4 linked regions of the Saccharomyces cerevisiae S288C genome follow. Changing the gene in region 4 together with the main gene of any one other region gives a genetic interaction. Each region holds a gene or a part of one and is shown on either strand. Other genes may lie near its edges. The genes, in order: PSP2, VAN1, APS3 and AIM26.

Region 1 (8,791 bases), on a different chromosome or scaffold from region 4:
TCTATATAGGGAAAAATTTCTTCTGACTTTGAAATTTAGATGCTAATAGTTTTTTTTATTATTTCTATTTTTTTTTTTTTTAAGATCAGTTGTTTGCTGCTGGCACCTCCACTGATTCGTAATTGCTAGCCGTTATTGAGTTCTCAAAATGTTCCTCCTCAGAGCTTTTGTTAATGATGAAAAATGAGCCTAAGATGAGGGTAGCACCAAATAAATAGAGCGCAGACATGGTTTTGTGCTTAAAGATTACATCACCAAACATTGCTAGGGGTATCGTTATGCTCAATCCTACGGTGACGGTTAAAGGACTCGTTAGTAACATAGCCTTTGCCCAACAAAAGTCGCTAACAAATGTGATGAGACAATTGACGAAGATTATTACCACAACTTTAGGATCTTTGGGCAGAGAGAATGGTTCCCAGCCAAAAAAGTCCAATACAATCAGTGATGGCCATAGAAAAAGTAAATTAAAGAGACCAACAAAGCCAAAAAAAATCTTCATGTTAACACGAGTCTCATCTCCGACTTCTCTCTTCAATAAAGTACTGTAGACACCGTAAAGTACAGCACCTGCAAGTGCCAACAAGTTGCCTATCAGAACTTGCACGGCATCGTTATCATCACCACTAACGTCCGCGATATGGCGTTGGTAGCGCTGATGAGAATCTGATTTGGTGACCATGATTATGCCTACAAAGGAAATGAACGACCCGAGTACTTTGGACTTGCTCAACGATTCAACATGACAAATAGCACCTATGAACAAGGTGAAAAAGGAAGAAGTAGTGGAGAGGATTGTCTGCGATGCCACCGATGTGAATGCCAGCGAGGCATTGGTCACAAGGTTAGCTGTGAACCAAAGTATGCAGAACTCAGCACTTAACTTGATTGTTTCATATAACGTTAGCCTCTTCTTTTGGTTGGCATGCGTGCCTGCTTCAAGGTTTGTAAGCAGTGGGCTAGTCATATCAACCGAGCGATTGCTATCACTACCAGTACCTTCTTCCTCCATAATTAGTTCGCGGTGAACGTTTGCACGGCCTGTGTCCTTGTAATTCACCACAACGGCCTTTGCAGTTGGAAAAAGATAAAAGATAAAGGCGGCAGTATTGGTGTACGTGATAAAGAATGGTTTTCTATACGAGTCATCCTCGAAGATCAAATTTATCAGGAAGGACGATAAAACCCACAAAATAATGACTAGACCCAACATCAGAAGACCCAAGGTCCACCTCTTATTAAAGGACGTTTGATCCTTCGACACCATGGCTCTGTTGAACTTTTATCTGAGAGAGGAAAAAAAGGAAGGAAAAAAAAGAAGAAACTTCCTTTATTTATTTGTCTTAACCACAACACACAATGCAATAAGATGCAATATAATATCAAAGCCAATATCTTATGTTGCTGATCCTGAGAAGGAATATATACAATTTATGTAGTAAAATACCTTTTCTTCTGCGAGTTGCAAGAAATAGAAAAGACTCCGATTGCGCATCGCCAGAATAAAATTTCACAACCACACTTTTTGGCTGAACTTTTTATTACCTGATTAAACAGAGAGAGAAAAGGTAGAGGTCAAAATTTTTTAAGCAAAACTAAAAAAGATGCAAAATCACGTGCTGAAAATCTAACATAAGGGTTAAGATTAGAGTTTTATAGGACTTGTTTTGTAATATTTCAAATACGAGCTAACCCTACTGATTTCAATTAGGTCTAATTTAGGGTTGAGCTGCACTGAAATTTCGGAAATTTTGGGTTATTTTAAATGAGACAGAAGAACTACAGAGATACGTTCTTCAGACTTTAAAGCTTATCTCCACAAAGAATTGGTCAAGAAATCATCCTAGAAAAACACGTTTGCTCACTCGATCTTAATCACATAGAGTGCTGGAACGGGAAGAAATGGGTATGTGCCTCGGTTTTTCTCATTAACCCCTTTTGATCCATAACGGTCCTCTTTTGTTTCCTTTTTTTTTTTTGTTTTAGTATTTTATGTTTACTATTTTCTTCTGTTTCAGTCATACGTAGGAATTATTGCATGAAAGAGGATATAATATTCATGTGGATTTTTAAGAAAATAGATCAAGTTTAAATAGCCACTAACAATTGAACAATGCTCTCTCTTGGCCTCTTTTCTTCTTTTTTATCGTTTCTCTAAAAATCAAGCTGATTAGACATGGTCTTGCAATGTTTTTGCTTTCTCTAATCAGCTTGGTTTTCCGCAAAGAAGAGAAAGTCACGGAATTGTCTACATATGTTTCTATTCAGGAACAAATAATACATCTAATAATAATGGCACTACGAAGAAAATGTCCCTAGAAGAATTTCTAGGGAACGACACTTTAGGCGAGTCAGTATGGGATGAGGAAGATATTAATTTGGATGCTATAAGCAATACTACGAATATTGACATCTTGAAACAAACCAAGGCAGGCGAACATCAACGTGATGGTCACCAACAGCACCCACACGGTGGTCATGGACCCATGAACAGATCACGTTTTTCTAATGCAGGGCCTTTTGGTGGTGGTAGCATGGGGGACTTTGCAAATCATCACCACCCGCTGCAGCATCAGCAAGGTCCTCCTTATATTGTGAAGTTTTCTGATTTACCACCGAGATTTTCCAACTTTGACATTGAAGATCTTTTTCAAGCAAAGTTTACCAAGTTTATTAAGTTCAAACTGTTTTGGGAGATAAATAAAAATCCAAGTATTTCTACTTTGAAATCGGGGTCAATCTTTGATCAAAATTTCAAACGTGACTCGAAGGTAGCATTTGTCGAGTTATATACATCCCGTGATATGGACAAAATTTTGAACTATTGGACCACTCCTTTGAAGGAAATTTACCACATTACAACAGCGCCCGCAGAATTCGAAGATTTTAAGGATTACAGCACGAAGGTGAAATTATTAACAGACCCTAAAGACGATGCTGGCAAACCATTCATTACTAAGACTCAGCGGTCAAAATCCAATCCTTTTGGAAGTGCTAAACCGGTTGATACGCAATCGAAGATTTTGGACATTGAAGAAAAAATGGAAAATTTACACGTGGAAGATACAACAACCCTGAGGGCATCATTAATCCCTAGTAGTGATTCTATGGCAACCACTGCAACAGGCAGCAAGATCACAATCTTGAAAAAGCAGACACCTACAGAGGAGGAATCACATTCTGCAACCCCAACTCCCAAACCTTTAAGTTACTCTGAAGTAGTTGAGAGATCTGTGGTCAATGAAACTTCCAAGAAAGGAACTCCATTAAGCAAGCTTGACTCACCAGCTCTTGAACTACAATCTAAGCCCGATAAATCGGACGAGTTCAAAGGTGGCGATGAACAAGGCTTTGAGAAAGGTGGCGACGATAAAGCTCAATTAGATGTCTCAAATGATAAAGATAAAGGTTCAGAAACCGATGTTGATAAACAGTTCACTTTCAAGAATGTGGAAAGGGAACATAGTATGAGCAGAACCAAATATAACGGAAACCATAATAACAATAATGGCAATTTTAGAGGGAGTAATAGATATCGTGGAGGCCCCAATGGCAGCAGTTATAAAGGTGGGCATAACAATCGTGGTAATCGCGGCGGATATCGTGGTGGCAGCTCATACAACAACAACAACAACAACACTAATGATAATAATAATAATAATAATAATAGTAGTAGTAATAATAATAACGGTTCAAGATATCATGATCGACAAAACAATGAAGAAGGGTTAACCTCGGATTCATCTTTAGATGCCTCAGGAAATAAAAAGAATGATTTCACGAACTCAACATCCAATACACAACAATATTCCATTTTCAAACCAGCAAGTGGGTTCCTTGGCCAAGGTAATAATGATTCTATAAGGAACAATGGACGCGGTAACTATAACAGCAGCGGTATGAATGGAGGTTCGAGAGGAAGAGGATTTGGCAGAGGAAGGGGATTTGGCAGAGGCGCATATAACAATCGAGGTAGTCGTGGTGGACGTGGAAGCAGCGGTAACTACTCCAACTACAATAACAGAACAACAGACATGCCTTTATGAGTCATGTACTGACCCATTAATTTTCTTTTCTCTTTTTTTTTTTTTTTTTTTTTTTTCCTCTATTTCCTTTTTTTGTTCTAGTCGGTTACGCAGTTCTGAGTAATGTAATATAGCGTTCCTTTTCCTCTCAGATTTTTTTGACCTTATTTTGTTTCCACTTTTTACTACTTATGCTGCTTTTTGTCCATTTCCCCTTCAGTTGTTTTGAATTTTTTTTTTAAAAAAAATTCGTCTTTCTGATTAATCAATTTTGATTATATATTTTCTCTTGATTAGTTCACAATTTTTATAGGCCCTTATTTCTTAAAGAAGTTTTATGAAGTTTCGTAAGTATTGGGGGGGTTGAAAATAATCTCTCACGTTATACGCAATAAAAAATTAAAATTAAGGAGAACCAATCTATAGAAACGAACCATTGAATTTAGCTATATGACTATATACCATTACGTAATTTATATAAACAGCTTAATATAGCGAAAGCAAAGTAGAACGAAATTTCGGAGAGTTCTAGATTGTATAGAGCGAATGAGCATTCAATACACACGCGAAGGCAGTAGGCGATGAAAGGAAGTTTTTTAATGTCATTAAGAAAAAGATAGGGAACTTCTATTTCCTGTCTTTCATATATATATATATATATATATATATATATATGTGCATATGTACATCGTTGAGTTGTTCATGAAATAATGAATATAATACTTCTGGATTTTTTAGTCAGTAAATTTACTGTTGAGATTCGTTATCATTTGTGATGCTTGTTTCCATCATTTGCTGTTGTTGATTAGCCAGTTTTCTTTCCTGTCTACCTTTCTTCATAACTTGCTTCAAAGCTGCACTATCTAGTGGATCTAACAATTCAAAAGAGCACAATAAACCTTCGCTGACGCTCATTACAGCCCCCCAATTATCAAATTCACCACAATAATTTGGCGCGGAAAACACCGTAACGAGACTTCTATCATTGAAAAATTCATAACCGTCTTCCACAACCATGTGAGCTCTACAAACCAAATCAAACCCAAACTTGTTCAAGAATTTGTTAATTGCCACCTTATTATAACAGTAACTTACACCACGTTCGTTATCCTCCCATTCGTTGGGTGAATCTGTGGGATCGGACCACAAAAGATCATTAATTAAGCCAAAATCTGGTACATCAGTAGGCCTAACTACATGTCTGATTTCATCCATAGAATTTAAAACTGGCGACAATCCACCATGAACACAAAAAATCTTTCCGGCTACGATAGCAGCTAATGGTAATGTATTAAAAGTATCGATGAATGTCTTCCAGATCTTGATGTTACAACGACGTTTACATTCATCATAAAATCCATAAACCCTTGTGACGTTAGCACATTCATGGTTGCCTCTCAATAAAAAGAAATTTTCAGGGTATTTTATTTTGTAACAAAACAATAGTAAAATAGTCTCCAGTGACTGTTTACCACGGTCCACATAATCACCTAGGAATAAATAGTTCGAGGATGGTGGGAACCCACATTTGGTAAAAAGCCTTAAGAGATCCCCATATTGGCCATGAACGTCGCCTACAATTTTTACAGGAGGTGATAATTCTAATAAGGAAGGTTGAGAAAGAAAGATTTCACGAGCCTTGATGCAAATCTGTAAAATTTCATTGTTCTTCAAACAAACATTTTTTGTTCTCTTAGCAGCGTAGCCCGCATCCAGTAATTTTTGGATAGTTTCATCAATATCGATAGGCTTTTTGAATTTTTTTGGAGCGTTTTTGTTTCCGGAAGATTGCATTATATCATTAAATTCCTCATTCGGATCTTTTTTGCTATCTGTTATATTATTATTTTTATCATTAACATTTTCCATTGATGCATGGATATTACTCAATTGAGATGAATTTTCAATGTCATCATCATTGCTGATGTGTTTGCTCGGGTAAATATCGCGACTTGAATGGTGATTCAATGAGGAGGTTGAATTAGAGGTAAAGTATTCACCAGAGTGATCTGTTAGCTTGGACAAGCCTGGAGAGTTTAATGGGGTGCTGTATGCGGTATTACCATCTGATCCAAACGAAGATTTCCTACTGTGTAGCGAAGATGCATGAGAATTTGACCGGGTTAATGCCTGAACGAGATAATTCTCCTGATTGTTAGAGGAGTATGATCCATTGTTAGGCTCTTCATGGGTCACATCTGATTTCCTTCTTGACACTGATCCGCTTCTTATACTGGACGGACGAGAATTCGAAGATCTAGAAAACCTTTTAGTGTGCGAGATGTCGTTGTCTTTATCATCATTGTCATCATCGGTTAAGGCGTTCTCATAATAGGTAGATGAGTATGAAGATTTATGCTTGGATACGTGTGTGCTACTATTGTTTGTTTTTAAAATGGGTGACTTGGGTTCCATTTGGATCATTGAAGGTGGTAAATCAGCAGCAGCCTTAGTATTATAACTTGATCTTCTAGAAGTAGAAGGCCTCTTAGTAGAGGATGATGAAGGAGTAGTTAACAATTCGTTTTGAGAATTTGAATGCGAGTGTGAGCTAGATGGGAAATGGTAACGATTCGTGTGAGAGCTATGTCGTTGGTGATTAACCTCAAGATTGGGCTTTGATGGAGTGGAGGGATCAGGGACGTTTGAATTAGTATTCGTAGTGGACGAAGAAGGAAGAGATCGCCTTGATCTTGAAGATTTATTTGATTTTGCAGACTTCACAGAATGGGAAGTCTCGGTTCTCGACACTTGAGGACGAGGATTTCTCGAGGAGGAATTCGAATGTGAATCCTTTTTCGAAGATTTTGAACTTGAATTACCCATTTTGAAAAGGAAGGAAAGATAAGCAGAGAGTGGTTGATTTGTTGTTTTATGACAAAGCCTCTAGGGGAAAAGAAGCGACTATAACGATGAAATAAAAATAAAACGATAAAGAAAAGTATAATCAAATGTATTCCAAAGAAGTACTTTTATATATAATCTTTATATTTAACTTGAAAGAAAAAGATTTAACATGTATTGCCAAAACAAACAAAACTAATAATGGAAGCTATTGTATTGTGCTTTTATGTTACCCACCTGCCAATGGTTCACAAGAGAAAGCTGATTAACAGAATTAGAAGATCTGCAGTAATCGTTTTCTTTTTTTTTTTTTCATTAATTTATATGCTATCCTTTTAAAAATAGACATGTCATTTCAAACGACATGTTAAAAATTATATATATGTTTATATATAGATTGATATATGTTGGAGCCGTTGGACAATTATGGGCAGCTATCTGAACATGGATCCCTGCCCTTCTCCTTGAGTTCTCCAGTAAGCGTTAGGCAAAGTGTCCGACTGCAGACGGTAGAGTCTCCACGCCTCACGGATGTGTTCGGGCAATAAGGGACTGTTGTTATATTTCTCGATGCTTACATCTAGTTTGTTGAATTGGAGGACGAGCTTATTGTACTGCTCGATGAGTTGTAGCTTCAAGTCCTGTGAATTATGGTCTGATTGCTGTAAGGATTTGGACTGTAGCAACGAGTTGCCCAGCGTAGTTTCGCGCTTGTCTACTTCTTCATCGTCGAAGTAGAAATCAGGTTCGTCTTCGGGAACGCTATCGGATTGATAATCTTGCTTGTATTGCTGGTTTTCTATGATGGAGAAAGTCAATTTTTTTAGATATTTTTTCAATTTATAGCCTATTTTGGTCCTCTTATCAAACTCTATGCACATTTGACTTGTCAACCACTTATTCTTCACAATCATGGCCAATTCGATTATCTCACCAGCGTATATTTTTCCCACCGCTTGCAGAAAAACACGAATATTTTCACTTATAGTTTGATTAGCTACTGTGCTAGCCAGTTTTTTGACCTGGGTTTTGTTTAGGGATGTTCTATGGAAAACTTCAAACCGATTAGTTTGATCTTTATCCAAGTTGGTTACCAAGAGCTTGAATTGTTCGTCCTGCGCAAGTTTTTCATTTTCATCTTCGTTGGTATTGGTGTCTTCGTAATTGCTATTTTGTGTTTGCTGTTGTAAAATGTCTTGTGGAAAGATCAGGTTTTCTGGGACTTTGTTGATAGAGTCCGGGTCTTGCTGATTTATCCTGGTTTTCTGGTATTTGTATTTTGGATATTTATTTAATTGGTTGTTGATTGATGTACCACCCGTTCGCAGGTTTTGCAATTTCCACGTAACGTAGTCCTGGTCCTCACTGATGACTTGGTCAATCATTTGTTTTGTGGAAAAATAGTTTGCTATTGTCAGTATTGGCGGATAGTTCACTTTCGGGATGGTGTCCAAAGGACCTTGAGGTTCGGTCATCGTTGCGCTGTTGAAGCTCAAACTTACTTTGTGCTCTTCATTTATATGGATAATTATCTCTATATACCTCTTCTTGATTTTTCAATTTCTTTCAACTTTTCAGTCGAAGAAATGGGAATAAGAGAAAAAATTCGGTAATGAACTGAACAGAGATGAGGTCTCGAAGAGCCAAGAAATAAAAGGTTAAGAACCAACATGGAGATAAACCAAGCGGCTGAAAAAGAACAGGAGTATGTTCACAAAGTGTATAATGAGATAGCTCCGCATTTCTCGCAAACTAGATATAAGCCATGGCCCATAGTGACTCAGTTCTTGAAGACTCGCCCAATGGGTTCCATCGGTATCGACGTCGGGTGTGGCAATGGAAAGTACCTCGGAGTGAACCCTGATATATATATTATCGGTTCAGATCGCTCAGATGGTCTTATTGAGTGCGCCAGAGGAATA
Region 2 (8,994 bases), on a different chromosome or scaffold from region 4:
TTAGAGGAAAATTAGCCGCCGTTTCACCTTGAATAGTTTGCTTTTCCTGAAATCGAGATAAGAAAAAGACAAGTTCATTTTGTACGCGCATTGATACGTATATACGTATATATAATACAGATACGGATTCTCTTCACAGATATATATATAACGTCATGGTACTAATATATGTAAGATGCCTTCGCAATGTCATTTAAAGCCTTGATATTTTTGTAATCGTCCTTATCAAATCCGGAATCAGTAGTTTCAAAATGCGTCCACAAGCTTTTAAATTCGGATTCATCCAGTATATCGTTGGAGGGCCTTTCGATGTACCAACTTGTCTCTTTCGACCTCTTGTGCAGTTCCCTGTCTGCTTCCATCCTGTGCAACAAAATGTTTGCATTGGTTGGCTGCGTCTGTAAGTCCGGGTTGATCGCAGTTGTATCGGAATTGAACTGCTGAAAGAAAGCCAATTTCTTCAAGTCTCTGTCCTTAAGCAGAGACTCCGTTCGTTGCAATGATTCTTTATAGTCCTTTGTAGTCCTCTCTGTCTTGACACTGTACCAGGTAGTAGCGTCTATGAGTGTGGTGTCTGATGGTGTGTGCGTGACGCTGGTGGCGTCGTAATGGATTAGTTTGGATAAGTCAAGGAATAGCTCTTTACAGGTGGCTTGATTCGTGAGGGATTTCCAGTCCTGGCAGGGCAGACAAAGCTCAAAAACCAAGTCTATGTCCATGAGTAGCACTTCGTTTAACACTTTTGTAACATTGGTATTGGAATGGCTATGCGGATATAAGTTTCTTATTATTCTAACATAGTATATCACTACGTCCAGTCTATCTAGTGGGTCCATCTTCATGGTTGTATCGAACAAACATTGGTGGAAGTCCTCGTAGTGATGTCTGTAGTTTCTCAAGTAGAACTGTATAGGGTCATTGTTCAGCTTTTGTTGCGATGACGGTGGTGTGGTGGTCGACGATGATGTGATAGAGTCTCTGGTCTTGTGCAGCGTCTTTTGCAGGTTCTTCAGGACCTGAATGAATTGTAATCTAGCTTCAAGAGAGTCCATCCTTGCTGTATACCTTTACCTGGCAGTGCTTTTGTGAGAAATTAACTACCATCTGGTATTCTTTTTCCTTTTCTTTCTAAAATTCTAGTTTTTCATGTTGTGCTTAATTAGGAAAAACAGTGAATTTGAACAGTTGCTGAAGTTGAGATCAGTCTTAAATATACATTGCTCAAAGAAGTACAAATACATATAAATATAAATATCTATGGTTTTCTCAACTAGTTATTATGTGGCATATACGAATGTTTTAGTGGTATGCTGGAAATGAATGTCATATGGTTGCGTTTTTCTCTGTAGAATCGGAATTCTTAGTGATATGTGCTGCCGGCGATGGTTGCGTCCGTGGCTGATTTGATGCTGCTGTGCTTGTGGACAGATCAAGATATGGTTTCACAATGAAAGGCCGCTGTAAGTAGTTGTAGGGCCCCATCAGGAAAGAAGATGACGGGTCTTGATTGCTCCCATTTATAGTAAAGTTCATGTTCACGTTCACGTTGCTGTTAAGGTTGTGGTTTGAATTATGATTAATGCTGTGGTCGGCGTTGTAATTTGAATTCACGTGGCCGCCAGAGTTTCCCGTTGAAGATAACAGGATCTTGTGGGTGATGAACGGCTTGGGCGGAACGACGTCCACTCTCTGTTGCTGTAGTAGTTGTTGCTGCTGCTGCTGCTGCTGTTGTTGTTGTTGATCCATGAATGACTGATGGGTATAATCCAGAGATGGAGGCAATGAAGTTGACGCCGCTGCTGCATGCGGCGGTGGTGCTGCTGATGAATTATGAGCTGAGTGAGACGACGGGCTGTGCGTCAACTCTCTCAGTGCGTCCACAGCTTCCATGTCCCTGGAACTAATAAGACGCGACTCCTGATCTTGCTGAGACCCGTCGGTCTCTTTACCCCCAGTATCTTGCCTCCTCCTCCTACCACTGCCAGGCTTTCTTCCCTCTCTCAACGTCTTCCCTTTTCCGGGCTTTCTGCCGCTTCCAGGTTTCCTTCCTTGTGCCAAAGTTTTCGCCATCACCCAATGTCCTGCTCCAATATACTTTAGGACAGTTTGTAGATTCACAAGGTGATCTGTTCAAAAACTCCACTGACAATAATAGAAATTTTTTTTTTTTCATTTTCTTTCAAAACTCATCACCAAAAAAAAAAAATTGATGCATTAGCATCGGCTTCATAAACGAAAAAAAAAAAAAGAAGTTGAAAAGAAAACATGATATAAATAGTTGCAAACTAAAGTAAGATAACTGAAGATGATTAGTCCTGTTTGCATACATAGTTCTGTTCTTGTTCTACGCTGATGCGATCAATAAAGTCGCTTGAAACGCGACTGGTAGAAGCCAGCTTAAGCACAAATGGTGTATATGGGAGTGTTACCCGATGCTTTTATGTAGAAAATCTTGAACTCTTTAAAAAAGAGAGTAAAAGCAATGGAGAGAGAGGCAAGCAAGCAAACAAACGTGTAATTGAGGGACTCATAAAGGGCAATGACTTCCAAAACGTCAGAAAGTGGTACCGGTACCCAAAGTACCATAGTTCAGCTGAGGAACCTACCGGATTTGACGGAAATTAGTCACTTGGAAATAGATGCTCCCGTAGTTGAAATTCTAAAGAAAACAGTACTTTTCCAGTTGAATTCGTTGAACATCTGCATTTCAAACTTTGCATTGGATGAGCTGGTCAACCTCGTGACCGTCCAAATGGACGGCATGTTTCGGAACCTGCACAATTTAACACTTTTACAAAGAAGGTCGCAAGCTTCTCAAGCAGATTTGAAATTGTTGCTTCGAGAGTTTAACCTGGATGCGCCCTCCCTTTATCAGCAGTTTCAGGCCTCAGAATTCATCAAATCGAAGCATTCCACGGAATATGAAAAATTGATGAGCTGGTCGTCTCTTGCTGCTTTACCGCATAACGAAGAAGATGAAGAGGACGAATTGAATAATATCGAGGAGCAACAGAACGAGATCAACGTTTTGCTGCCTCCCTCTAACCCACTGGAAAAACAGATACCGAGTTGGCTGCCCAACTTTCCGCCTGACCATACCTATAAGTTTACACCTGAGTTCAACCATCCAATTACTGATCTAAAAACCATCAAGAAAGAAATAGTAAAAGAAAGCCAAGAGTCTGAAAAGGCACTATTGAACTTGAACAAAAGTCTCTCCCACATATCATCAGCGTCAAATACCCCGCAACCGCCGGGTTTAGACGATGAGGACGCTATCGAGCAACAATTGGAGATTTGGGGCAACGCGCTGGAAGAAAGGAAACCAACCATAACTGAAAAGTCCTTCAATGAAAACAATATCGAGCAGTATGCGAAGTATAGAGTGGAATTGGCGAGAGAACGTGTCACGAAATTTGAAGTGAATCAGTTGAAAAGAACAAAAAATCCATTCTTGAAAATTTCTGAAACTCTCTACCTTCCAGAGAGTCCTCACCAGTCTCACAAAACCATACAAAAAACCATAGAATTGCAATTTCGTAAGTCTATGACACTATTCATGCACAATTTACCTAAGGTCCAGAAGTTGAAGAAGGAAAAAATACGAATGGCCAAGGAAGAAAGAGCAAAATCGCTAAAACGTCGGCAAGAAGAGCTTATTTCACAACGAACAAAGAGGGAACAAGATGAAGGCCATGATCTTGAGCTTCTACTAAATAACGAGCACGCAAGGGACGCTGCAGACGACACGACCACCCCTAATGCATTAAACAACTCTACCATAGTTATCAACACAAACGCCGAGGATGAGGACGATGACATAAACTTATTTGGCATCTTAGGGAGCAGTGAAGATGAGAATGAAATGTCGAGTATGCCTGCGGAGAACCTGGTCGCGGAATCGGAACCGCCAACAATGACAGCGCAAGATACTACAAATACTACACCTGTAGCACATAACACAACCAATATCGATGCTACTACAAGTCACTCTCCTCATTCGACGCCTAATGAAAACGCCCCGACATCTCCTCCTGCAGATATAGCCACAGATCACGATATAACTATGTAAACAACTGCTTTCAGTGAACCAGTGTTTGTCCCTAATATAATAATACGTATTCAATTTATCTCCGGAGAGGAATTTTTTTTTTTTTTTTTTTTCGTTCTTCGGCGACTATACCGAAACAAGGCTTGAAATATTTAGAATCAAAGAAAGTTTACGTCTTGTAAATTAGTAAATGGTAACGTGAAAGAAGTAGACGTAAGGGTGCAGTAACAGTCATTTGAGCTTGTTGACCTACCAATTAACACAAAAAAATGGGCATGTTTTTTAATTTAAGGTCAAATATAAAGAAGAAAGCCATGGACAATGGACTAAGCCTGCCCATTTCAAGGAACGGTAGCTCGAACAACATCAAGGACAAACGCTCAGAGCATAACTCCAACTCATTAAAGGGCAAATACAGGTACCAGCCGCGCTCCACACCGTCTAAATTCCAGCTTACGGTGAGTATCACATCTCTTATTATTATCGCCGTTCTGTCGTTATATCTCTTTATATCATTTCTCTCCGGAATGGGCATTGGTGTATCCACGCAAAATGGTAGGTCGTTGTTGGGTTCCTCAAAATCCTCCGAAAATTACAAGACTATCGACCTAGAAGATGAAGAATATTACGACTATGATTTTGAGGATATCGATCCTGAAGTGATTTCAAAATTTGATGATGGTGTGCAACATTATCTAATATCACAATTTGGTTCAGAAGTGTTGACTCCCAAGGATGATGAAAAATACCAAAGGGAACTCAACATGCTTTTTGATTCCACTGTTGAGGAGTACGACCTGTCGAATTTTGAAGGTGCTCCGAATGGATTGGAAACACGTGATCACATTCTTTTATGCATTCCACTAAGAAACGCTGCGGATGTATTGCCATTAATGTTCAAGCATTTAATGAACCTAACCTATCCACACGAGCTGATTGATCTGGCCTTTTTAGTCAGTGATTGCTCAGAAGGTGACACTACGTTGGATGCTTTAATAGCGTATTCTAGGCACTTACAAAATGGCACGTTGTCTCAGATTTTTCAAGAGATTGACGCTGTCATTGATTCGCAAACAAAAGGCACCGATAAATTATATCTTAAATATATGGACGAAGGTTATATCAACCGTGTCCACCAGGCATTTTCACCACCATTCCATGAAAATTATGACAAGCCATTTAGATCAGTACAAATTTTCCAAAAGGATTTTGGCCAAGTAATTGGACAAGGTTTTAGTGACAGACATGCCGTTAAGGTTCAAGGTATAAGACGAAAACTAATGGGGAGGGCAAGAAATTGGTTAACTGCCAATGCTTTGAAACCTTACCACTCATGGGTTTATTGGAGAGATGCTGATGTAGAGCTGTGCCCTGGTTCAGTCATTCAAGATTTGATGAGCAAAAACTACGATGTTATCGTCCCTAACGTTTGGAGACCACTACCTACATTTTTGGGAACTGAACAACCATATGATTTGAATTCTTGGATGGAATCTCAGGAGGCACTAGCATTGGCAAAGACTCTTGACGAAGATGATGTTATTGTAGAAGGCTATGCAGAATATCCTACGTGGAGAGTTCACTTAGCCTATATCAGAGATGCAGAAGGTGATCCAAATGAAGCGGTGGACTTGGACGGTGTAGGGGGAGTTTCTATTTTGGCGAAGGCCAAAATATTTAGAAACGGGGTACAGTTTCCTGCATTTACTTTTGAAAATCATGCAGAAACAGAAGCATTTGGTAAAATGGCAAAGAAAATGGGGTACAGGGTTGGTGGTTTACCGCATTATACTATTTGGCATATTTATGAACCGAGCGATGACGATTTGAAGGAAATTGCGTCAAGGGAAAGAGAGAAGAGAAGACAATCAGAGTAAGAATCATGATGACATTTAATATTAATTTAATTTAATTTAATTTTTTGTTTTGTTTTATTTCGTTTTGTTTTTTTGTTCGGTATTGATTTTTCTTCTTTTAATCCTCTTCAATGGATTGAAAAATATATATTATGTAGAGTAAATAAAAGACCTCTTAAGGATAAGGGGTAACCTGGGATCTGGTTACAGTTCAAGGCTTCGTTATTAGGGAGCGAACAATAAAGATTAAAGGGTACTAAAAATTGTACTATTACTAGTTGCATGTTGAGATATGAAGACTTTCAGTGTCTAAATGCCCCATGTCTATATAATCGCATGACAGCGGTGTATTTCTATCTATTTACCTTAATAACCGCTTTCCGCTAAGCCACAGTGCAATCGTATTCTGCAGCAGCTCTTGCCCTGCGGCCTTTTATGAAGCTTTCGACCATGTAAAGCCCGCTAATCATGCATGCTAAACTTGCCAATCCTATCCCAAGGTACTGAGCACCTCTATAGCCTTTCAAAAGATGCTTTCCGTCTGAATTGACCTGTGTCTCTACTGTGGCACCCATACCGAGACACAAGGACATGGAGTAATTGACAACAGTATTCACCAATGACCCAGCCATGCCTTGGTACTCCATCGGTAAATTATCACTAAAGATAATGGAAGAAGCAGGAAATGAAAGATCCATCCCAAAACTTAAAATTATCATCGTTCCTAACTGAGTACGAAAGTATGTCTCGTGAACCGGTGTAACACTTGCCATTATTGAGCCCACATTGAATGCTACCATAGAAAAGAACAAAAACACTGATGGAGACACATTCTTGATAGTAAATCCTACCAGTAAGGCGGCAATAATACCCCAAATTAAAAACATAAAGTAAGTTCCACCAGCCCATAATGCCGTGTACTGCCTTATATTTAATTGAAATTGGAAATAATAAAACGTAAAGATGCCAAAAGAGCCCCATCCAAAGAATAAAGCCAGCATAATTTGAATCATATGACGATCCTTTATAACTGCGCGCGGCAATAGTGGAGTCTTGGCAAATCGAATCTCATAAATGATGAAAACGACAAGAAAAATCACAGAAATGATTAAAATTACGATGATGTAAGCCTGGTTCCAACCCGATATAGGAGCTTGGTTCCACACAAAATTTAATAAAATGAGACCTATCACGCCCAAAACAGAACCAATCCAATCCATAGAAAAATGATGAATATTTGTTGGTATAGTACTCGGAATGGCATATATGGAGAGCACAAAATTAATGAAAGCGGCTATGCTATACGCGTAGAATGCCCATGGCCATTGTTTTGGGTCCTCGGTACCGATCAGTCCTGCAAAAAGACAACCTAAAGTTGCTCCAATAGGGGCCATCGCACCAACAAAACTAATCACGATGTTTTTACGAAAAGTACCACCTACATATATATTACCAATTATTCCCAGCACATTAGGTAAAACAAATGCAATCCCTAGCCCTTGGAAGGCTCTACTAATAATAAAAAAAGTATCGCTACCAGAATACTTGGTAATCCCACAAATCAAAGACCATATAATAACCAGAACATATCCTACTAACAACATTTTTTTTAATCCGTATATGTCACCTAGTCTGCCACTAATCAAAATAAATGAGCCTGAAACTAGCGGAAAAGATGCCATCAGCCATGACTTTGAGTTTCCTTCTGAGCCAAAACTGTCCGAAAGAATATTCATGATCGAAAGAGTCTGTGTAGTGCCTGCTTGATTTAGAAGCTGACTTATCATGCATGTGAATATAAAAAGATATTCTTGCCATGCATATTTAAAATAGTTTGGGTTCTGCCATTTCTGATTGCTATCTACCATTTCATCTTCAGACTGCGTAAAAGCTGTTGCTGTTAAAGATTCTCCGATATTATTATCTCGTGACGATTTTTTAACAGGTAGTTCTGTCTCATTCTCATACTCACCCTTACTTTCCGTAAGCACAACTAATGACTGATTGCCCATTATTATTACCTGTTTGAGATTCTCTAATTGCCTCTCTTTTTACAATCGTACACTTTGAAAATGTTGTTTTAAACTTAGAATATGCATTTTATTCATTTTATAAAAACGTCTCATTCTTCAGACGTTTATAAACAACTGTAATAGTGTCAACTTTTATATAAAGGTCATCTTACCTGAAAAGTGTAAGTTCTGAAGGTAGAGAAGAGGTCAAGGCAGACAGGATCCTGCGGCTTGACGTCGTCGCTAACGAAACGAAGTAGAAAAAAATTAACAGGTTTGAGTCAGAGAAAATTATCGTTCCACATTGGTGACTCGGTCATTAAGACAACAAGTGCCGGCAATAAATCGCTTACGTAATCTGTGGCAGAATGAACAGGTTAGGTGCATAATACCGCCATTCCATTAGTAATCACTATATTATTTAGTTTATACAAAGAAATCGGAGAAAAAAAGGGAGAAACACCTTGGCAGGCCGCCTTAGGCTTCCTTGGGCTTTGTCTAAATAGTCCGATGGATATGCATTATACTTCAGGCTCAGCACAGCTATACTACTCGTCAGGATGCGTGTTGTCTTCCGCAGAGGCGCCCAAAATATTGGCTGCATACATAAATGTCGAATGTTGCACTTGTGCAAGGTATTGGGCCATGACGTCAGATCCTGGTATCGTTCTATGCCTTGCAAAAGATCCTCTCTTCTTCTTTCTGTTATTTGCTGTTTCGCCATTTGTGAAAATATCTTGCATTGGCGTTTCGTTGTTCTTCGAGTGATTATATGACAAAGTTGAGGGAGCTCTTGGAGGAGCTTGTCTTAATGACGACCTATAATTGAGCTGTGACATTCCTACGGCTTCTTCCTCGTCTTCTATCTTTACTGGTCTCTTACTATTAATGACGGTCTGACTCGAGCTTCTTAGAGTTTGTGATTTTAAAGCGTATTCAGGATCGCTCGGGGAGTGCATAATGACCTCGACGTCTGATGACGAGTCGGAAGATCCCGATGACTTGTTAAATATATCTTCATAATCAGTTTCATCCGATGTCGCACGTTTGACGTCAGAGCTCGCCACAGCGAGAC
Region 3 (2,680 bases), on a different chromosome or scaffold from region 4:
ATCCAAGCCTATGTGACGATTGGAAAAAAATTTTCCCCTAACTCATTGGTATACACTAGTAGATTCTTTCAACTTCATTACTTCCCTGAAGACCATTTTATGTCTTGTTTTAGAAAAAGTAAACCAGCAATAACGGTAAAATCCAATAAGAAGTTTTATTTAAATGGGAAGGTTTTCAACAAGGACAAAGAATATTTCAATGAAACTAGGATATCAAAAGCTAATGAAGTCGAACTAAGCAAAATTCAAACAGCGATGACACGGCTTACAAATAGACATAGAAACAGTATTCCCTCTGAATTTGCGTACTTGAGACGAGATTTAAAATTAAAGGTGAAAACAACGTTTATCAAGGAGTGGTGTAAACTAAATGGTGATAAGGCCATTCGAGAGTACGTTAATCTTAACAGATCTCCAAATATTAATCCTGCTAGCATGAAGGGCAAGCCAAAGAAAAGTTTTTTAGATAACCTTGGTAGAAGTACTGTGGGAACCGCAAAGGACGGCTATTATTTATACATTGTTAGCATATTTCCTGATAAAGATATGTTAGGAGAATTTAATGACGAGGTCAATAGAAGCGTTCAAAAGGTTGCCAATTTGGATTGGGATGGGTTCTTGACCCCAAAAAAAGGCACGAAAGGCAAAAATTGGGTAGAATCGTTCAATGACAGTATAAACGTTCAAACAATTAACAAGATACTCGAGATCAACAAGTTTCCATTTGAATTAAGAAGAGAACAAACAGAAGGCTGAGAAATGGGCCAACCATGCATCTCTCTTGCTGTCCACTATGTATCTACATATACGTTTTAAATATTTATCATCGAATGTGCAAATACAAGAACGTCACTTTCGAGTCTAAGTGGTTGTCACTCATGTTTCGTGATAAAAGAAATATTTACAACCCGGGATTTTGAACCGTTGCATGGTCATACTCGAGGAGTATTAGAATCAAGCCATTATGATCTGCTATATATCTTAATGGTAAGATCACAATATAAATGGATAGCAATAACTTTTGAGTATGAGGAGTTCCACTTTCATAAATGTTATAGATATGGAAAGCTTACGCTGATGTAAGTAATGAGTAATCACAAAACGAGGTAAGAAAGGCCAAGCGAAAATAAAGTCATATATTTTAGGCAAAAAAAAAAAGTCTCAAGTAATTCTCTATAAGGCAATAAAAAAATAGTTCTCATTCAGTCTTTTTTCTTTCTTTTTGAATACGATGGCTCGATTAAGGTTCTTCATTTCAAAAAATATCTTGCTTATTAATATTGAGTATGAATGAAAGATTCATATCAAAAGTAAGCGCAAGTGGTTTAGTGGTAAAATCCAACGTTGCCATCGTTGGGCCCCCGGTTCGATTCCGGGCTTGCGCATTTCTTTTTTATATTTCTTCTCTTACGTTGTAGGAGTATATTTTTTTTAAATAGTCCACTGGAACAATATCATTTCTGTTGTAACTATACCAGATCTGGGTTACAGAGGCCAGAACACATATAACGTTACACAATGATTCATGCAGTTCTAATATGTATGTAAGATTTCTCAAGGGTCTTTTCTTCTGCCAAAATTATACATTACTAACATAATTCATCATTTTTGGTATAGTCAATAAGAAATGCCAACCAAGATTAGTGAAATTCTACACGCCGGTCGACCTTCCAAAGCAAAAACTGCTATTAGAGCAAGTATATGAATTGATTTCTCAAAGGAATAGCGATTTTCAAAGTTCTTTTTTAGTCACGCCACCATCGCTTCTGTTAAGCAATGAAAATAATAATGATGAGGTAAACAATGAAGATATTCAAATCATCTATAAAAACTACGCTACACTATATTTCACTTTCATCGTGGATGATCAAGAATCAGAACTGGCCATATTAGATCTGATCCAAACTTTTGTGGAATCATTGGACCGTTGTTTTACTGAAGTCAATGAACTTGATTTGATTTTTAACTGGCAAACTTTGGAAAGTGTATTAGAAGAAATCGTGCAGGGGGGCATGGTCATTGAAACAAATGTGAACAGAATAGTTGCTTCTGTTGACGAACTCAACAAAGCTGCCGAGTCCACAGATAGTAAAATTGGAAGACTAACGTCCACTGGATTTGGAAGCGCACTACAAGCGTTTGCTCAAGGCGGATTTGCACAATGGGCAACGGGGCAATAAACAAACAAATTAATCGGATGATGGTTATTTTCGTTCGTCAAGATCTGCACGTAAAACCGGCTTGAAGAAAATTAGCTGAGCCGGGCATTTCCCAGCTTTTTTAATATATAATACAAAATTAGGCACCCTCCCTTTAAAATTCTGTTTAAAACTAGATCTGGTCATAAAACATAGATAATATTGTACGTACAATATGGTCACACCGTTAGGAAAAGTAAGATCTCGCTGTGTCTAGAGAATGAGTTTTCTTTCTTTTTGACAGGAAAAAAATAAGTTCTGATAATGTAAAAGTTATAGAAACAATGTAAAATAGGATACATTTCTATATTAATATGTACCTATAATATATGCAGATTGGTATATGTAATTCAAGGAGTATGCATAGAAATAGCAATCCAGCGAGAATAATTTAAAAGGAGTCAATTCATCCTATGCAGACAGGCATTTTTGATCCTTGAAATGCAGTCTTTCAGTTGCTCTTTAGAAATGGCAAAATCCAC
Region 4 (7,593 bases):
CGTTCAACTTCAAAACAGCCAATTTGGAAAGGTTTGAGACATTCTCGGGCTGCTGAGAAATAATTTCATACTTAACCACTTCATCCGGGTTGGGAGACTTGATCTTGTCCCATTCCAAGGTGGTTCTAGAAGACTTCTCTACCAAATATCTCCTGAAAAGCGTGAAAAACGAATCCAGTTCGTTCTCAAACTTAGCGCGAGCAGCATCGTCAAGTTTACTAGAGTCCGCCAACTTGTTTAAGGCGTTTCTCATTTGTGAGGCAGCAACGCTGTTTGTGTTGCTCTCGAATGCATAAGTGGAATGTGTTTTGGTGTGCTTCTTAGTGGACATTATTATGTTATGGTACACTTGCTGTGGAAGTTATATTATATAATCGGAAGAGGACTAGGCCTTTTAACGTTGCTGATGTGGAAAGAACCAGAAATTGAATCTCCAACTCCTAAAACCGTAACTTCAATCTCATGGTACCTGCTGGAAGAACTTTGTTGTTTGTTTAGATTTATATACTCAATCCAAAACAGGGAAAGGAAATGCAAAAACGGGCCGAGCCCAAACAAAAGAGGAAGCGCGTCAGGCTGTTCGAGAAGGGGCGGGGGAAGGGGATCAGGTTACAAGACGCTGTACAGGGATCTGTGTGAGAACAAACCGACACCAGAACTTTGGACTTTGCAAGCGCCGGAATTGAATCTGTAGCAATGGCAATGGCAATAGTGATGGCACCAGGTGTAACAGCAAGCCGGCGGTAGCAACGTGCGTAATAAGGACTTCTGCCCCTGAAAAAGTATGCCAAAAGTAGGAGAAAGAAAGACCCCTTTAGCTGTGAAAGAAGAAGGTGCTCCCCGCCCATTGTCTGCATGCGCCCCTGAGCTTGGCGACTCTCGAATACCGTGGAAGATGGTGGAGCACCAGAGTAAAAGGCCGTGCGCACTCTGACAAGGCAGTATTGTTACAGGTTAAAACAGCTAGTGTGTATATGTGTAAGTAAGTATTATTTATGTGTTTTACTTAAATTGGTCATTCATTGCATGGTAGTTCTTTACGCGAATTTCTGCCTGAGGAGAAGGGAGAACCTGACCTACAGGAGAAGGGAGCATAGTTACCTGTCAATACCAGCCTAACTCGGAATCGTCCAACAGCTTCCAGCCGATACTAACGAAATTTTCCAGGGCAACGTTCTCAAGCCTGGGTTCCTCTGCGGCTACTGGCGCCGTTGTCGGTTGTGTACCAGAAGTACGGCGTTCATCAAGCAATGTCTTCATGACTGATGACTCGCGGAGGCCTTGGCCCGACTTTGGCCACATGACGTCGTTTCTGGTCGTGGACGAAAGTCCTCCTGTCAGGGACATTATGGGCTTATTAAGCTCGTGCTCGAAGATCTTGAATGGCTTGATCATTGTCAGCACGCTGGTGATTTGAACTACTTCATTCATCGAGTTTGACAGCTTCATGACCAGGTCCTGCGACTTCTTGGTGTCCTGAGTATTCTGCGTTGTAGTTGCCGTCATCATAATGCTAATGAGTGATGTAGGCATCTGCTTGACCAGTTCAGTGATGTTGTAGACCTCGTGCAGGATAGCAATAGCAAAGGGGGAAATTATCCCCCGGCAAAGGTCTGAAAGGATAGTGCCAGTGTCTTGTTTCAGGCCTAGTAATTTCTTGTAAAAATCTGGATTCCCCTCCGATGGAGGTGCAGCGCTAAGGTTCCCAGCGACTGGAGACGAGCCCATAGCAGATGGGCCCTCTTGCACTGTCGGATTATTAGCGGGTGGGTTCGGTGGTCTATAATTAAAATCAATACTGTTCGTAGGATTCAGTCTTAATATCAACGTCAATACTTGCAAAATTATTGATATCAATGAGCACAGAGAGTCTGCTATTTTCGAACTCAAATCCAATGTCAAATCTGAATAGACTCCTGCTTCTGAATCGTATAATGATAATAAGCAATTGATGAAATTGTGTTTGCCAATTAATAGCTTGCAAAATAACTGTGCTACGGATAGAGGTTGAGTTTCCACATATTCCGATAAGAGTGAAGACGAGTTCGTAATATCGAACCCAGGCTTCCTATTGCCGTTCATTGATATTCTATTCCTGGTAAGCTCACTCATCAATTCACCCAATTTCAAGCTTTGCAAGACGCTTTTCAGTCTCAATTGGCTTTGTTCCAGGCACCATTTTGAGCCCAAATCATTAGAAAAAAATCTTTCTGTAGAACCTTGGATGGAAATGTTTAATAGCTTGGGACCACCGAATGCACAGCTTTGTAAAGAATCAAACACTGAAAGCAAAACGTATAATCTTTTAAACAACACTGAATAGTGACTAATGTTTTCGTCCATGGAATTTGGTGAATTGGATGGATTCATATGCCCAGCACTTTCAGATCCAATTTCAAATTCGGACGTTTTTGTATTCCCATTACCAGTGCTGACCTCTTCATCAACTGGAGGCTTCACATCATTTATATCCGGCTCCGGAAATAATAGAAGTTTGTATAATTTAAATTCGTTAAAAATTGTCACCGACATTCCAAGTACAAATGAGTTATCGTATCCAACAAATGCCAAAATGTAATTTAAAAGAATAAAAGTAGATAAATAAATGACTTTGATCTTCGGCGAAATTTGGTCGTTGTTTTCTCTGAATTTGGGATGAATATCCACGATTTTTTGGAAACATTCATTGAGGGCGGCAATAAAAACGCTTTGCACTTCCAAAGTATCCTGTACTTCATTATGTGAATCACGTCTTGTTTTTTCAGCATCATCCCTTGCCGTGGCTGTAGTGAACCCAGCTTTGTTGTTGTCATTACTTGGCGACAAAGCCACGCCAACAATATTATCGAAAAACTTGCCACCTGGCTTTTGTTTCAGAGCAACACGAACTAACAATTCCAATGAATTTCTAAACCACAAAATAACATATGAATTGACTTCGTGTATATTGGAAATTGGCTGTGTGTTAACTAACAATAAGTCACTGGTCAAGGTCGTTTTGTTTAAAGGTATGATCGGAAATCCTACATGTATGAACTCATAGTAGGTGTCTATTAGATCTACATCGGATATCTGTCCATACGCGATAGTTGATGAAGTGGTCATTGGGTGAGCAGAATCTTTCGATGTTATAGATATAGATGAATCTCTCTTTGGTTTTGTCTTCTTAGATACGTAACTTTTTCTGCGTTTTTTTGTACTTCTCTGTGGCGTTGATCCAGGGCTGGATGCTTCCAAAGCCGCTGGTGTAGTTACAGATTCTTGGGAATGTTGAGATGTATCCTTAGAAGAACCGCTATTATTGCTGCCATTATTGTTGTTAATTTCACCATTATTATTCTCATTACCATTCAGCCTGTCCGTGGATAATGTTACTGATACGGGGGCTGATTGTCGCCTTTTATTTCCATCCAACTCAGATGAAAATTGCGGTACCTGCTGTCCTTGAGGTCTTTGTGTTTGCTGTGCAACATTTACGGGGTTTGTAGATGTGCTAGTAAACATGGCAGGTGCACTGGGAGACATAGCCTCGCTGGCGACTGATCCTTGTCTAGAATGAAAACCATTAGCAGCGAACTGGCCAAAAGATGATATCGATGGGTTGTACGGTTGCTGCTGGGAAAATTGAGAATACGAGTATAGGTTCTGTCCTTGTTGCAACTTTTGTTGGTGTGCTTGTGGCTGCGATTGTTGCTGAGGTGGGGGAAGCTGAGGCTGGCCACCTAGTAAAAGAGAATTTGAAGTATTTCGTAGCAAAGAAGGTATGGAACTTGATCTTCTTGTCTGTTCCCCATTATGATCATCAGTAGGAGCTAGTAAACCAGAAGTTCTTATAAAGGACCAATAACCACCACTACCAGAGGCACTGCCTGAGCCGGTGACACTTCCGTTTGCATTTCCAGAATCATTAGTATGTTTATTCGTTATGGGAGACTGTTGAACGGTGTTATAAGACAACTGCTCGTTGGGATTTAATGTTCTTACCGATATATCACTTTGCAAAGAATCGATAGATCCTTTTCTTTGGTGTTGAAACTCATGGTAGGGCACTTTCCAAAACTGCTGTTGGCCAATATTACCCGCGGGCATAGTTGATTGTATCGCTGGATTTTGGAAACTAGGAGGAATGCCACCAGCCTGGGGAATGTACTGTGTCAGTGGGGGCAATAAAACTGAATTAGATCTCGAAGGGGTACTTGGAACTGTGTTACTGTTTATACCGTTGTCGCCGCTATTGCCCGTATTATTATTCAGGGTATTGTTACTATTATCAAACGTATTATACGACCTTGAGTTATTGTGGTCTTGTATTTCGTTAGTCCTTGGATGGCTGGTGCTCCTCGTATAGCCTTTCGAGGGTCCCCTTTTCAAAGGAACCCTATCAAAACTACAACGGTCTCCATTCCTTTGGCAGTTTGAGCAGACCCCCTTTTCATCTTTGTAGTCACATTTAATCTTCTTTTTACGACACTGATCGCAGGCCCGGGAGGCCTTTGTTCTTTTCTTTATTGCGTGACTTGCTGCTGCTGCGGAGTCCATATCGTCGGGACTATTGGATGTACCACCGTTCTTGGTGGAGTCACTGGAGTTAGTCGAAACAGTGTTCAGCTCGTTCATAATTTGAAATATATTGGAGTTTGAGAGAAGAGTACAGCTTCTTGACAAATGTGAGAATCGAAGAAGCGTGTTATTATTGCACCAATGAAAATTGCGGGAACGGTTCTGCACAATATAGTACAAGGGAGAGGCGATTTCCAACGAAGTCTATGGTGAAAGAGCAGAATATGTTGGATGGACAATACTCCAGTCTCAAAACTCCAAGCACGGTTCCTAACTGATGTGTTCTTATTTTGACTTTTTTTATTTTTTGAATTTTTACTAGTTGCTACTATTTTTTTTTCCTGTTTTTCCTTAAAAGGTCCCTTCCCATAATCGTCTTGCTTAGTTAGCTACATGAAAAAAAAGGAAAAAACTAAAGGAAAATGCACAAAGCAGCGACATATTTTATGAATCCAATACCTGCCATTTCAAGAAGCTCGGATTATTGGTGAGGTGACGTAGCTTTTGTTTGATGTACTGTTGATTATTCGTCTCTGGTGCTCATAAGCCACGTCACAGAAAACGATAAACGATGTTAGCGCACATGCTACATGACTTGCCAATCGTGGTAAAGCTTCTGATGAAAGAACCAACTTGCGGAAGCGTGCCCATAAAATGGTCGTGCGGCTTAACGAGCAATCACACCGAATAAAGTGATCCCGTAAAATGATATTCTACTCGGATGATCCGTTCCCTAGGAAGCGTAAGACAAGTAACTACAAATGTTGTCGCATGTATATTCTATTACTCAGAGCGTTTGACAAAAAAATCTTCTCCCTTTCATTAAAAACGAATCGAAGAGCTGGGTTTATAGCATTGTCACTAAGGACGTGGTCTCATCATAAACAAATAGAATATACATGTTATGTTACATAGGAAAGACCGAAAAAGCCAGAGAAAGCTAATAAGGTTAGCACTGATGCAGCGCGCAACCTTACGTTATCTGGCTTCGTTGTTCATCCTTGAACAAAGGGAATTCCTCACTTCTGGTCTTCCTGCGTCTCTTCTCATAAACAAGTACACATGAAAAGTCTATGGACCAATTTTCTCTTCCATTTTATAGTCGATGAACAGAAACTTTTCGCTTGTTTCGGTTTGATATAAATCATCTTATCACCGAAAAAAAAAAAACTCCAGCGAGCGGCTAAATAAATACAAAACGAAAAAGTTAGGTCTAGAGTATAGCATAGCTTTGGTGACTACAGTTATAAACAGGTAAAAGCACGCACAAATAAATGAAAAGAAACGTGCAACGCATTTATTTATTTATTTATTTATATTCATATTTATATTCATATTCATATTCACATCGCATTGAACAGAAGTGCATATGGTTCATAATTTCTTTCTTTTCGCTTGTAAACATTTCGTGACTGCCCTCGAAGAAACTATTTGTCTCATCACCTAATCAAATCTGCTGGAGGTAGCGTTATTTTGTTGGAGAGGGAGACACTGGCCCGTGGCCTTGGCTATGGTTATTTACATTATCGTGTCCTTCTTCATCATCAGTAAAATTCAAATTGAGGTCATCCTCGTCTATGCCACGCTCACCAGTGATGATACTTGCGTCATCTTGATCGTCAAACGATTGCAAATCGCCCAAGTCAAAGTCCGCGACATTTTCTGGGTCTGTGGGTAGTTGTTGGGATGCGGCTAGCATGTATGAAGTATCTGTTGGTCTCCATAAGAACGCGATGGTAACGAAAACAATGAAATACACTAACGTAGGCCAGAAATCAGTAACGAAGAACCTTGACCTCCAGTTCTTCTCAATCATATCAATAGTGTTCATGCCAACGTAAATAAATGACGAAACTATACTACCAGCTAGTACACTCAAAAAGGACGCATAAATGATGTATAGTAGCTTCTTGTACATGTTCAATTTTACGATCTGCCTTTGCTCTTTCAAATAGATAACTGTTTTTGTCATGGATCTAATAATCATGTAGTAAAATATGATTAATGCAAGCGCCATAGGAATCAAGGTGATCAAGATTAGTGGAGATGGTGCCTCCATGTCGGTCAAATAACTTTGGATCAAAAATCCAATGCAAATTGCATAAGTTAACGCACCATACATTTGGCAACGCCTCATCAACGTTTTATTCAACTTAGGGTACACGATACCGTAGCCCAAAGCGATAATCAATAATAGGAAAAATGAAAATGTAACTTTACCAGCCGTCAATATCGACAAGAACACCATATAAACTTTTATTCCCGCAGTATCACCTTTTTCATTTTTCAAATCATAGTAAGCCCATACAAATATGGTTTCTGCGGTTAAAAATACAAAAAAGGCCAGCAAATACTTTTGTAATGGTAACAATTCATGCTTGTGCTTCCAGAAGGCGAAGGAATATAACGCCATCGCCACAACGTATGCGACCGCCAAAAGACCATATAGTGGCAATTTGTTGATCTCGGTGCCCGCAAGCTGACCATAAGCATTCCTGAAATTCACCACAGCGTTGAACTTGGTAGACGTCGATGATCTGAACGCAGTAACACAATAAAATCCGGTTTCTTTTATTGGGTATCTAGTATCATGAAGGCCGACCTCATTTTGAGAAAACGTCATGATTGGATTGGCCAAAGATCTATTTGTGGAAGTATATGGATCATATACAACATCTTGAACAATAAACTCATCACGATTCTCCTCTTCACAAATCCCGATATCAATTGCATAATCATCACAAATATAATACATTTCTTCATCCGGCAATTGCACACCTAAGTGCTCAAAGTCTTGGAAATCATAGATTGCAACGACTAAGCCTGGATCAGACTCATCACTCAATCCACTTATTTTTTTAAGATTGAATGATATAAACGGGTCTATTTTGCCCTTCCAATCTTCTTTGGAATACATACCTGCGCATACTTGATAATTCTTTTGACTTATCTTTTCCTTGTTAGCTTTTACGAACACTAGAAGGTAGCATAAGAAGCAGGTGAATAATTGGAAAGGTCGGCAAAACTGATATA

What was found.
Region 1: mutations in AIM26 (region 4) and PSP2 together harm fitness more than expected from each alone (negative genetic interaction), as found in Saccharomyces cerevisiae (one large-scale study listed by BioGRID).
Region 2: mutations in AIM26 (region 4) and VAN1 together harm fitness more than expected from each alone (negative genetic interaction), as found in Saccharomyces cerevisiae (one large-scale study listed by BioGRID).
Region 3: mutations in AIM26 (region 4) and APS3 together harm fitness more than expected from each alone (negative genetic interaction), as found in Saccharomyces cerevisiae (one large-scale study listed by BioGRID).

The regions. Positions count from the first base shown.
Region 1 is NC_001145.3:234,686-243,476, forward strand, and holds PSP2 (Psp2p), read left to right. Parts: upstream 1-1,902; coding exon 1,903-1,906; intron 1,907-2,268; coding exon 2,269-4,046; downstream 4,047-8,791. Other genes in the region: YML018C (uncharacterized protein), read right to left, coding at 86-1,267; PPZ1 (salt homeostasis regulator), read right to left, coding at 4,773-6,851; TATA-binding protein-associated factor TAF11, read right to left, coding at 7,304-8,344; TRM9 (tRNA (carboxymethyluridine(34)-5-O)-methyltransferase), read left to right, coding at 8,540-8,791. UniProt on the Saccharomyces cerevisiae protein: DNA polymerase alpha mutation suppressor. Suppressor of group II intron splicing defects of a mutation in MRS2. May play a role in mitochondrial mRNA splicing.
Region 2 is NC_001145.3:37,121-46,114, reverse strand, and holds VAN1 (Van1p), read left to right. Parts: upstream 1-4,320; coding exon 4,321-5,928; downstream 5,929-8,994. Other genes in the region: CTK3 (Ctk3p), read right to left, coding at 162-1,052; DAT1 (Dat1p), read right to left, coding at 1,324-2,070; TAF8 (Taf8p), read left to right, coding at 2,540-4,072; ATR1 (borate transporter), read right to left, coding at 6,291-7,919; NAB6 (Nab6p), read right to left, coding at 8,468-8,994. UniProt on the Saccharomyces cerevisiae protein: Involved in regulation of the phosphorylation of a number of proteins, some of which appear to be important in cell growth control.
Region 3 is NC_001142.9:395,431-398,110, reverse strand, and holds APS3 (Aps3p), read left to right. Parts: upstream 1-1,518; coding exon 1,519-1,540; intron 1,541-1,617; coding exon 1,618-2,180; downstream 2,181-2,680. Other genes in the region: PET130 (Pet130p), read left to right, coding at 1-756; RRN7 (Rrn7p), read right to left, coding at 2,600-2,680. UniProt on the Saccharomyces cerevisiae protein: Part of the AP-3 complex, an adaptor-related complex which is not clathrin-associated. The complex is associated with the Golgi region as well as more peripheral structures.
Region 4 is NC_001143.9:362,629-370,221, reverse strand, and holds AIM26 (Aim26p), read right to left. Parts: upstream 858-7,593; coding exon 501-857; downstream 1-500. Other genes in the region: UGP1 (UTP glucose-1-phosphate uridylyltransferase), read right to left, coding at 1-331; RGT1 (Rgt1p), read right to left, coding at 1,105-4,617; PTM1 (Ptm1p), read right to left, coding at 6,029-7,593. UniProt on the Saccharomyces cerevisiae protein: Involved in selective mitochondria autophagy (mitophagy).